Linked DNA regions of Xenopus tropicalis. The protein of the gene in region 2 interacts with the protein of the main gene of each other region in a biochemical or structural test. Links are inferred from orthologs where the notes say so. Each region holds a gene or a part of one and is shown on either strand. Other genes may lie near its edges.

Region 1 (3,654 bases), on a different chromosome or scaffold from region 2:
TAGGTTTCCATAAGCAGCCCAGCTGGACCGCCCCGACCTTTGCACGGATAGTCGTGTATTTACAGTGTTCAATGCACAATGACTTCTCACCATCACTCCTTGCACTAACAATTTAACAGGAAATCAGCGTGAAAAATGCAGTCCAAACGGGCCATTGGGTCAGTGCCATGTTACAACTCTCAATAGGGAGTCACGGCAGGAGTCAATAGTACCGAGAAGTTCAACCATGACCAGGAACATTTGGCAAGTCGACAAGGTGAAAATTGCCTAGTAAGGAAGGGAGCTGTACTGTCACTTCCTAAAACATGACAACCCACGTCGTCAACCTTGGCCCCTTCTAGGTATTAAGTTCTCCACCTTCATTTTTAAGCCTAACATGTAAATGTGTAAGTGTGCGAAGGTGAAGAGTTAACACTAAGGGGTTATTACAAACACTACACATTGCAGTTACTCCATTTAAAAACAGATTAAAATTGGTCTAGGTCAGCTCTTTAGCACCCCCTAAAGGACCACTCCTGCCCAAATATCTGATGGAAGGACCACACAGGGGGCGGAGTGCAGCTGTGGGAGGGGTGCTCAGCCATACTGTTACTTCAGGTGCCCCTTTTATCCAACACTGGCCCTTGAGTAATACACAAAGCCTTGCTGATCAGTTCTCTGGCAGGACCAGTACCTATATCCTTACCTGTGAGCTGAATTCAGCCCTGGGGTGAAGGGAACCACAGTCTGATAATCACCACAACTTATTCAATAGTAAAACAACTCAAAAACGATAAAACATTTCTCGTCGTGCAAATCCTTGATTAAAAAAGGAAAAAAAAAAAAATCTTCTCAAAATTGAGAAAAGAGAGTTAATACTTTTAAACAAAATCATAAAAACAGCAATAAATACTGGCAGTGGCCATTTAGATAAATTGAACCTAAATGTTAAAATGCCCCCAGAGGAGATCAAAGCCAGCCAATGGCAGAACTTGCTCTCAGTTTGAAACGGAAATGGAATCCAGAAAAAAAAGTTGCAGGAAGTCTGCACTTTGGCCAACTTGGTGCCTTGAGCAGGGAAACCAGTTCTGCCAATGAGAATGCATGATATGGAATGTAACAGGTGGATCCGGTAGCAGAGAAGCCTGAGCTACAAGCATTCTATGGCTTCACGTTGCACCTTTGGGATCATTGATTAATTTTATACTCCATTTTTTTCTCACCCAAACAAACCATTGTTAAAAAAAAAAAAATGTCCATTCAATAGGACAGTGCAGTAGACAGATTCCAGAACTCTCAGCAATGAGTGCTGTAAGGCAGAACTGAATATGGCACAACATATGCCTGTGTCAGATACACCTCCTGAGGAAGGTTCATGTGCAAAGAAAACAAAGCAGAACAAGAGCGCAGAAGAGAATGAGTTTCATGATATAGTTTTATCTCCGCGGCTCTATCGGCTGCTCTGTGATTGAAAAGGCAGGACTGTGCGGGCACGGAGGCTCATAGTTTCTTCAGCCGGCTGTACAGTTCTCTCTTGCTTCTCTCCCCTGCCCATGTCCGGCTCTTCATGCGGAACTTTCTTAGGTCTTCTTTAAAGTCCTCGTGGTTCATGGGGCGGTAGGTCTGCGGCGTACAGTAGGTCTGGTAAGGGGAGAGAAACAGACTTCTAAATCTGATTCTGGATAACAGGTCCTATGCCTGTACATACAAAAAGCACTCACATATGCCCATTGGCATGTTACTTACCTTGCACTTCTGAAAGAATTCTTTATATCCACCATGTAAAATATAAAGCTCTGGGTAGTATAACTGCGGATATTCATTTCTATCTCTGTCTTTCTCCCGTAGAAACTTGCACCTGTAACAGAGGTTTGAAAGAATAAGCCGGGCATCTGAAACTTATGGCAACACACAGGGTGCTTGGTCGCCCACATTAAAGCCTAGGAGAAAAAGGTGTTGTTACTGGCGCTTTAATGAGAGAAAGTGACCCATACAGGGCTTCTCTGCCCCCTAACTCAAGCTTCAGCCATGATCTTTGCATGGCAGTTCATTTTCTAAATTTCTTGTGCATTAAAAAAAAAATGCTATTTAGATTTGCACCCAATTATTAAAGGGCAACTACACTAGCAAAGGAACCATGAGCCATTAGCCACAGGATCCCAAGTACTAAAGCTTCAGTAGTGTGGCTGCTCTCATAGCTGTGCTTAGGGTATAACACGGGGTTTGGAAGCATTTTCCGTTGCACTGATTGATGCGCCAAGGAAAGCAGTGTGGGACGACAAAAAGCCAAACCCAGTGAGCTGTCATTACTTATATACCTGCTCTCAATACACCCTTCTCCAATATCACCAGAGGGTGCAGGACAGACACCAGTATATTAGACAGCTGAAGATGGAATTGGGGCACAGGAAAGCGCTCAGTGGGCTGTGTTTACTCACATTCTGGGTCCCCGCTCCGACGAGAACTCACAGTGGAAGATTAAGATAACTCGTTTGGAACCATTTGACATGACTGGATTCTTTAGGAAATATTCCTCAGCCTCCTGCTCCATGTGAAGGTTAATGGCTCCCTGCAGAAAAAGCAAAGCACTGTGGTCTAATATATACCCATCTACCAACAACCACTGTCAGCCTTTAGTCAACATTTCCAGAACTTTTCGCAGCCATTACTTAATCACATCACCACAAAAGGAACCATCTTCTCAACTACGAAACAGTACAAGTAAAACCTACCTGTATGTGACCTCCTTCATACTCGTAGGGGTATCTACAATCAATAATCACGCATCGCTCAATAAAGGGGTCAAATCTTCCATTTAGGATGAGAACCATCTGCAAAAGTATAACATTATTTGAGAATACTGAAATGGCAGGGGCGGGGGGGGGGGGGGGGGCAAAACACTGATGTACAGGAAAGCTCACCAGTTCAGGAGTGATGTACTTTAGTTCCTGGTGCCTGCCGCTCACTGTCGGGAACAGGAAGACCTAAAAACACAACACAGAGCCAAGTCAGCCATGTAACTCAAAAGGAAGTGCTTGGCAAATTGAAAAACCTCAGTGTCCTGCCAAAATGAGTGGCTCACCTTTAACCTCAGTTAACTGTGTATCCTATAGAATGGTCTATTCCTAGCAACTCTTCAAATGTTCTTTAAATTACAGTTTTTTTAATATGCTGCTTCTACCTTTTTCAGATGAAAAGGGGGGGGTGTCACGGACCCTATTAGATAAAAAGCTATTGCCCTGTGGGGCTAATGTTTTGTTGTTACTTTGACTTTTCTGCCCACCTCACCTATTTATTAAGATTTTTGTTTATACCACTGGCTGGCTGCTGGGGTAAAGTGGACTCTAGCAACAGAAAATAAAAGACAAAATGCAAATTGTTTCAGACTTTACCTGAATGCAACACACCCAAGGTTGAGTTAAAGGTGGATTTTTTTTTTTTTAAGCAGCTCAGGTACTAACACTAACATTATGAACCAATAAAACCCTGCATTAAACCTAAACAGTAGGTTGTGTGTAAGGTCAGTCTCAAAACCCTGAACAGTCCATAACTGCAATTAATTTCAAATTGGACACAACGTAACATCACATGGGGGAAAACATAAAATACCTTTGAAAAGTCCCCAATGAGACTGACTTGATCGTTGTCCAGCATACTTTCTATGTTCTGACTGGA
Region 2 (3,754 bases):
CTCTAATTTAATTTTAAAATTTCACATGGAGCTAGCCATATTCTTCATTCCCCAGCAAAACAATGGGAAGGTAGCAAAAGAGAAACTCCCAGTAGATATCAGAAGATATCATATTTTTAACACACACATTACATATATATTTTTATCTATACTGTATGCATTTTTTTTTCTTACTGTTGTAAAGATAAATTACCCAGTTTCGTCCCCTTAAGCTGGCCATACACGCACCGATAATATCATACAAAACCTCGTTTCATAGGATATTCGGTGCGTGTATGGCAAGTCGGCGAGGTGACCGATATCGCAGGAGGCTGCTGATATTGGTCGACTCGCCGATCGGGTGGGTTAGAAGATTTTGATCGGGCGCATAGAAGGCGCCTGAGCAAAATCTACCTTCAGAGCTGAATCGGCAGAAGGAAGCAGAAATCCTATTGTTTCTACCTCCATATCTGCCGTTTCAGCCCTGAACGTTAGTGGCCGATTGGAACGATCTTTCGTGCGACCAATCGCCACGTGTGTGGCCACCTTTAAACAGGACACCACAGCCAGCCCTACCTAAGCTGTTCAAGAAGCTTTGAACCCTGTTCTCTCTGTGCAGCATGAACCGTAGAAGTGCATACACATCCAGCCACAAGCATAATTGCTTCAGATTGCATCCTACTACACATGGAGGACTGTGCAGTAGATGAGTTGGATTGTTTCAGAATCTAAGCAGCAGCAGCTCCCTGTGGCAGCAGAGGAAATCTGACACATAAGGTTTACACATGTGTAAACATATATAAGAAATCAATATTCAAGTAGAATGTTTAATATTCAGGCCTAAACAATATTTGGACCTGAAACAAGGAATGGCTGTAAATGCAAAGTGTTACAGCATGTGAAAGCTCAGTTTTAGGCGACAGTCTACTGCTAAGGCTTTTATGTGGTGCTTCTCATTGCTGTTAGTAGAAACTTGTATGCAACTCTATGCATTATGAACCCTACATGTGCCATCATCATGTACTGGAAACAAAGTTGCACACAGAATTATTTCAATTTTAGTAGTTGCTGAGAAAACGTAAGGTGCCTCACCACACCAGCAATTAGCTGCTGAAAAAATTTTTGTGCATCTTGCTCAGGCATTCCAACATCAGGTTCTGTAACAAATATAAATAAACACGTTACTGTGCATGAACAAGCTCACTTCAATCTTAAATACATATTCTTACTTCACTTCTGATGAACATTTTATATCTTTTTGTCCCTATGAGGGTGGTGTACTCCTGGTACCCACAGGACTATGTTTAAGAGGCCAAAAAGTGACCAAAGTGGTCTGGGAAGGGTCAGCAGATAATATTGGCCTGTGTATTTAAAACTAAATAACTATACTACGTATACTGGTTAACAACTAGATGGTTATCAGTCCAACAAAGATAGGGGTAAAAACTATGAATGAGCACATCCACAACACAATCTGCCTGAAATTATTAAACTTCAAGCACGGCATGAGAAGATTTTAGCAACAGATTCAAAAGCTATTTCTGTTGGTAAACCCTTGTGCATGACTTAAAACTAAAGCAATATATTGATGGATACAGAATTTATCACATAGTGACTTCTCGATTCAGTTACATATTCCAGAACGAATTCCATACCTATGCGATCAAAGAGCTCACCACCTCGACAATACTCCAGAAAGAGGTACTGAATGTTTCCTTCCCGTCGATGTCCATAAAATCTTACAATATTTGTGTGATTAAGCATCCTATTAATACAAATCTCCTTTTTGATGTTTTCTGGGCAATCAGCTGCACGTGTCATGTCCACAATCTTCACTGCTACTGCTTCTTCTGTTTTCCGGTTTACTGCCAGCTGCACTCTGATATAAACAGCAATTGAAGAAAAGTTACAGCTTATGTATGAACTTATGCTAATCTCATGTGAAAGTGTGCATGTGATATAAAATAATAAATTCCAGAAAGGGGGGAAAATGATAAATTCAAGGAAACTATAAAATGTTAAAATAAAAACAGGTACTCACTCTCCATATGCCCCTTCCCCAAGAGTCTGGACAAGATCCCAGTCTTCAACAAATGGAACTGCCATTTTCTTATGTTATTATCTGCCAATGCAACAAAGACGTTTTAAAACAGGGGAACCACTAGGTTATGGAAAGCTCAATGTTTCCAGCTGTTTGTATGAATGCGTATAAAAAAAAAACATTCTGATTATGGGACAAATGGGCAAATATTGCTTCAAAACGTAGAATATTTTTCAAATTCTATTTAATCTAATACTGTCATACCACAAAAGACACATCCTTGAAAAGAACTATTGTATAATTACACACATAACCGCAAGGCGCCATCGGGTAATACTCGTCCCGGGAAAGTTGGTTTTGGGAGTTAAGGGGGGACAGATGTGCTACACATACTTGGATTACCAACCCACTCCTGTCATTGATTTGCAGACTTCTTGATACCTGTTGCTACAGTTCCTGCATGTTCTTTCCCCTACACAGCGTTTCCTAACACAGCCCGCAATTTCGGAACGCCACCTACAGCTCCCAGAAAACTATTTTCCTGGCGCGCTTCTACAGTCATACGGCAAATCCCGACACCACAAATCTCGCGAGTATGGCGTCCGACTGCACGTCAGCGCAGTGACGTTTACGTAGCCGCCTTGATAGTGCCGATCCGTCGTAGTTTCGGTGTACGTATCTCCTAATTCTGAATAATAATAATAATTAATAATAATAATAATAATAAAAAGAACCAGTCTCCCTTGTTGGTATCTTGCCAGAAAGTCACACAGCTCAGCCCACAATTTTCGTAGAAGTTTATATTTTGTGCTCGGAGTTCCAACGTTTACCCAATCAGAGTATTTTCTCTTAATCTTACCAAAAAGCTAGAAGTTTTGGGCAAGCTCGGATAAAATTATATTGTCATCAGTTTAGTTTTTTATGTCTTTAAAAAGTTACAGTAACAGTTTAATACACAGATCTATGTTCTGGAGACAAACGTAAAACCCTCTATGCTTATATAATGATCACAGGTCAGTCAGTGCATACGACCCAATACGTTCAAAAATGAAAAATTATTGGTGAACTTTGTATAAAGTACTTACGAAAAATGCTTTAGCTCCTAGTTGTTGCTCTGTGCTGCAACCAAATACAACTGCAAAAATCCAAAAATAGGAAAAAAAGCTCCAGCAGATTAACTGCAAAACATTTATTATGGGTAGTGGTAACACGACATGTTTCGGGTTAATACCCTTTATCAAGTGTACAAAGACCATAACCATGTGATCTCATTTAAAGCCAAATTGACCTATGACCCACCAAGCACACAGCATTTCAGGAAACTTTCTTAAAGTGATAGTATAATAAGTTAACAAGTTAAACATAAGTGAAGGGTCATTATATAATATACCTTGTGTAAAAAATGCTATAGTTAAATATGGTAATGTTTCATTATACATTAACATTAAAGTGATAGTGCTGCAATTAGCATAAATAATGCCACAATGTGCATAGATTTGTTTAGGTTTGTTAAAATAGCATAAAAGGTAATAATTTATAAGATAATCAAAAACAAGTGCAAAGTGAATAAAGCATACAGTCCAAATACTAAGTCCGTAAGTGTTGATCCAATGTCCTTGGAAATCCATTAAAAACAGTTCCATAAAAGAGGAAGGGAGGTCCAGTTGAACCGAATCCACAAGAAACACTCCTGGGGGCCACTGCACGTTTACACGTGTCTAACCACACCAATGA
Region 3 (3,654 bases), on a different chromosome or scaffold from region 2:
GCCCACCCCTGGTCTATAGTCTATAACCTAGAGAAGTCAGTTCTTCCATACAGGGACTCCTCATCTGCTTACCAGTAATCTGTCGCAGCTCCTCTTCACTCAGCTCTTCTGTTCCGAGTTCATCATCCTCGGTCTTGTTCATTTTCACCAAACGGTGAGATTCGAGGTACGTCTCTGAAAGGAGCCCCTGTAGGAAAAACCACACAAATCACCAGTGAACCCCAAAATTATACAGTTATAACTCAAAAACCATTACAAGTTTGTAAGGAATGTATATTGCTTAGAATTAAGTTTTTTTTATAAGGCAAAAAAATATATTCTGGGTTGACTTGTCCTTCAAACAAATGCTTAGGTAGCCGCGGCCGGGCACTCCCCACAGTACAAAATTGATCATAAAATAGGAATATTATATAGGAATTGCTGTTCTTGTTTACATTTACTCACACAGAAACCTGTACATAAAACCCGCTAAAGGGTAATCCCACCTCACAGCAATATAAGGAAGCTGCTGAGCTAGAATGATGAATTGTAATAACTGTAAATTGTTTATTACCTGTACCACCTGACGGAAGCCAGTTCTTAGCATCGGCAGGAAGACTCCAGTGATACTGACATGGTCCCCGGGCTGAGCGAGCCGCGTGTTCTCCCCACGTACATACACAGACATACAGCGAGGGATGTTCCCAACTGGAACTTGATCACTCTATTGAGAGAGAGGGTTGGAAGACTTAATATCTGCATTGTATACATTTACTCTCATCACTCCAACTTGCAGCGCAGCAGTAAAGTGTGCCTGAGTCTGAGCTTTCAGCCAGCGCTACACATTAGAACTGCTTTCAGCTAACCTATTGTTTCTCCTACTCCCATGTAACTGGAGGAGTCCCAAGCCGGACTTGGATTTCTTACTATTGAGTGCTATTCTGATACCTACTGGGAGCTGCTATCTTGCTCCCTTCCCATTGTTCTGCTGATCGGTTGCTGGGGGTGAGGGGGGGGGGGATATCACTCCAACTTGCAGCGCAGCAGTAAAGTGTGAGTGAAGTTTATCAAAGCACAGGTCACGTGACCGTGCCACCCAGGGAAATGAAGGATATGGCTAGCCCCATGGGAAAAACAGATTACAATGCAGGATTCTGCTGGAGAAGCTCTATTAACTGATGGGTTTATCCCCATCCCATGTCAGTATTGCTTTAAATTTCAGCTACTCACATGTTCTTGAATCTTCAGCTCTTGGAACTTAATAAATTTAGAGCCCCGGGTCTGCAAGTAGAGCCTGCCCCCAGAGCGGTTTGTCTGACACTCCCTGCTGGGACACATTATAAGCGGCATAAAAGTTGGAGATTGAATCTGTAAGAAAAATCAAACCGGTGAGAATCAACAAACTCTGTTGGAAACAATGGAATTCTACAAGTGAAATTATAAATTAGCGACACTCACCGGTTGGTAGGTCTCGGCACCACACTGGTCACATGTGTACGTTGCCACCACCATCATAGGCTTGACTTCTGTGACCCTCGTGACTATGCCCCGAACTGTAACCAACTTGCCGATGGAATCGGCTTTGACATCTCGCACCACGCGGGCTTTTGAGCTGCTCGGAGCTTTGAAGTACAGTTCGCTGCATAGAACACAGGGACGCGGTTTTAGATTATTATTAATGTCATTAAAACCAACCACCAACTGGGCCAGTGAATGGTACTTACAATCTGCGCATAAGCTCTGGGGGGTACTGGTTGTGAGGATCACGGGTCTCACTGGGGTCTCGGCCTCTCTGCTCCATCATTAAGCGGTGCTCAATATACACATCCAAAGCATCTTTATGTACCACCTACAGCAGGAAAGAATAGTAGCCGAGATTATTCTTCCCTAAAACAGAAATGATGCATTTAATTCACATTGCAACTACTGTATTAGGACCAGGATGGATTTCCCATGAAAGACTACAAAGTTATGAATGGGCTTCCATTTCTGTTTCTGATAAACTGAGCAATAAGAACAAAGCTTTATATAATAGGATTTTTGTTACTCACTGTTAAATCCGTCGATAGGGGGGGACACAGGGAACGTACGGGGTTAAGCGCCACCCTCCAAGAGGCAGGACACTTGATTAACAAATTAAAGGGGCGTGCTAGCTGCCGGCATTACCCAATAGGCCCTGATCGAAGTGTTCATATTAGGTCTCACTTGGGACCTAGCTGTCCATCCTCCTGGCAGCAGGACACTTGAAAAACTGATTGGATTGGGTACAGCGGAGGGGTAAATCTGGCAACGGGCACGCCCCTTTAATTTGTTAATCAAGTGTCCTGCCTCCTGGAGGGTGGAGCTTAACCCCCATACGTTCCCTGTGTCCCCCTGAGAAGGCAGAGAAATAGGGACTTCCATATTTGAAATAAGGACTTTGTTGATGGATAATGTTACCTTTAACAGATGAATGCATCAGAGTATTTACAGTTATACAGTATCATATTGTTACTTCTTGTATTGTAGTTTGTATGCCTCACTATGTGAAGTCTGTGGCTAAATACACCATCCCATTGGTGTGGATTATTTACTCTGGCCAGGCTTCACATCCTATAGAAATATAGTATCTAGTAGAAAGCCAAAGCAAATGTACAGGTAACGGACCCCTTAGCTGAAAACCCATTATTCAGAAAGTTAGAATTGCAGAAAGGCCATCTCCCATAGACTCCATTTTAATCAAATCATTTACATTTTAAAAAGGATTTCCTTTCTCTGTAATAATAAAACAGTACCTGTACTTGATCCCAACTAAGATATAATTACCCCCTATTGGGGGCAGAACAGCCCTATTGGGTTTATTTCATGGTTAAATGATTCCCTTTTCTCTGTAATAATAAAACAGTACCTGTACTTGATCCCAACTAAGATATAATTACCCCTTATTGGGGGCAGAACAGCCCTATTGGGTTTATTTCATGGTTAAATGATTCCCTTTTCTCTGTAATAATAAAACAGTACCTGTACTTGATCCCAACTAAGATATAATTACCCCTTATTGGGGCAGAACAGCCCTATTGGGTTTATTTAATGGTTAAATGATTCCCTTTTCTCTGTAATAATAAAACAGTACCTGTACTTGATCCCAACTAAGATATAATTACCCCTTATTGGGGGCAGAACAGCCCTATTGGGTTTATTTCATGGTTAAATGATTCCCTTTTCTCTGTAATAATAAAACAGTACCTGTACTTGATCCCAACTAAGATATAATTACCCCTTATTGGGGGCAGAACAACTCACCTCTCGCTCTTTATACTGGGGCAGCAGCTCCTGAACGGCATCAGCAAACAGGTTTGTGTACCTCCTTGTGTTTTCACAGATTGCATCCACTAACTCGGGGTCCTCCTCGGCCAGGTCATCCAGATCGATGTACAGCGCAACCTGCTCTCTGTGAGCAATATTAGCCTGATAATATAGGGATTAGTCAGGTACAGGTTATATTCTTTTCTGTAGGACTTTTGTACAGTTAACAGATTCTTATATACACAACATTTCCATAAACTATAGTAGGGTTTAATGGCTGCCCCCGGGGCATCTATATAAACTATAGTAGGGTTTCTGTAGCAAACACCCCAGCTGTACCAGTGCAGGAATGGCTGCCCCCGGGGCTACACAGCGGGGTATTTATATAAA

What was found.
Region 1: of the proteins of chek1 (region 2) and cdc25a, one has a biochemical effect on the other in vitro, tested with the Homo sapiens proteins (7 studies listed by BioGRID and IntAct, with this or other methods). The link is inferred for Xenopus tropicalis from reciprocal best matches to the Homo sapiens genes CHEK1 and CDC25A.
Region 3: the proteins of chek1 (region 2) and mcm7 form a complex in vitro, tested with the Homo sapiens proteins (2 studies listed by BioGRID, with this or other methods). The link is inferred for Xenopus tropicalis from reciprocal best matches to the Homo sapiens genes CHEK1 and MCM7.

What each region holds. Positions count from the first base shown.
Region 1 is NC_030682.2:12,726,928-12,730,581, reverse strand, and holds part of cdc25a (M-phase inducer phosphatase 1), read right to left. Parts: coding exon 3,589-3,654; intron 2,964-3,588; coding exon 2,901-2,963; intron 2,811-2,900; coding exon 2,712-2,810; intron 2,549-2,711; coding exon 2,418-2,548; intron 1,838-2,417; coding exon 1,726-1,837; intron 1,621-1,725; coding exon 1,480-1,620; 3' UTR 1-1,479. UniProt on the Homo sapiens protein: Tyrosine protein phosphatase which functions as a dosage-dependent inducer of mitotic progression. Directly dephosphorylates CDK1 and stimulates its kinase activity. Also dephosphorylates CDK2 in complex with cyclin-E, in vitro.
Region 2 is NC_030683.2:74,060,027-74,063,780, forward strand, and holds the start of chek1 (serine/threonine-protein kinase Chk1), read right to left. Parts: upstream 2,657-3,754; 5' UTR 2,427-2,656; exon of another isoform or gene 2,414-2,426; intron 2,102-2,413; 5' UTR 2,086-2,101; coding exon 2,021-2,085; intron 1,859-2,020; coding exon 1,635-1,858; intron 1,137-1,634; coding exon 1,072-1,136; intron 1-1,071. UniProt on the Homo sapiens protein: Serine/threonine-protein kinase which is required for checkpoint-mediated cell cycle arrest and activation of DNA repair in response to the presence of DNA damage or unreplicated DNA.
Region 3 is NC_030679.2:144,214,217-144,217,870, reverse strand, and holds part of mcm7 (DNA replication licensing factor mcm7), read right to left. Parts: intron 3,427-3,654; coding exon 3,262-3,426; intron 1,829-3,261; coding exon 1,704-1,828; intron 1,619-1,703; coding exon 1,438-1,618; intron 1,348-1,437; coding exon 1,210-1,347; intron 704-1,209; coding exon 554-703; intron 188-553; coding exon 73-187; intron 1-72. UniProt on the Homo sapiens protein: Acts as a component of the MCM2-7 complex (MCM complex) which is the replicative helicase essential for 'once per cell cycle' DNA replication initiation and elongation in eukaryotic cells.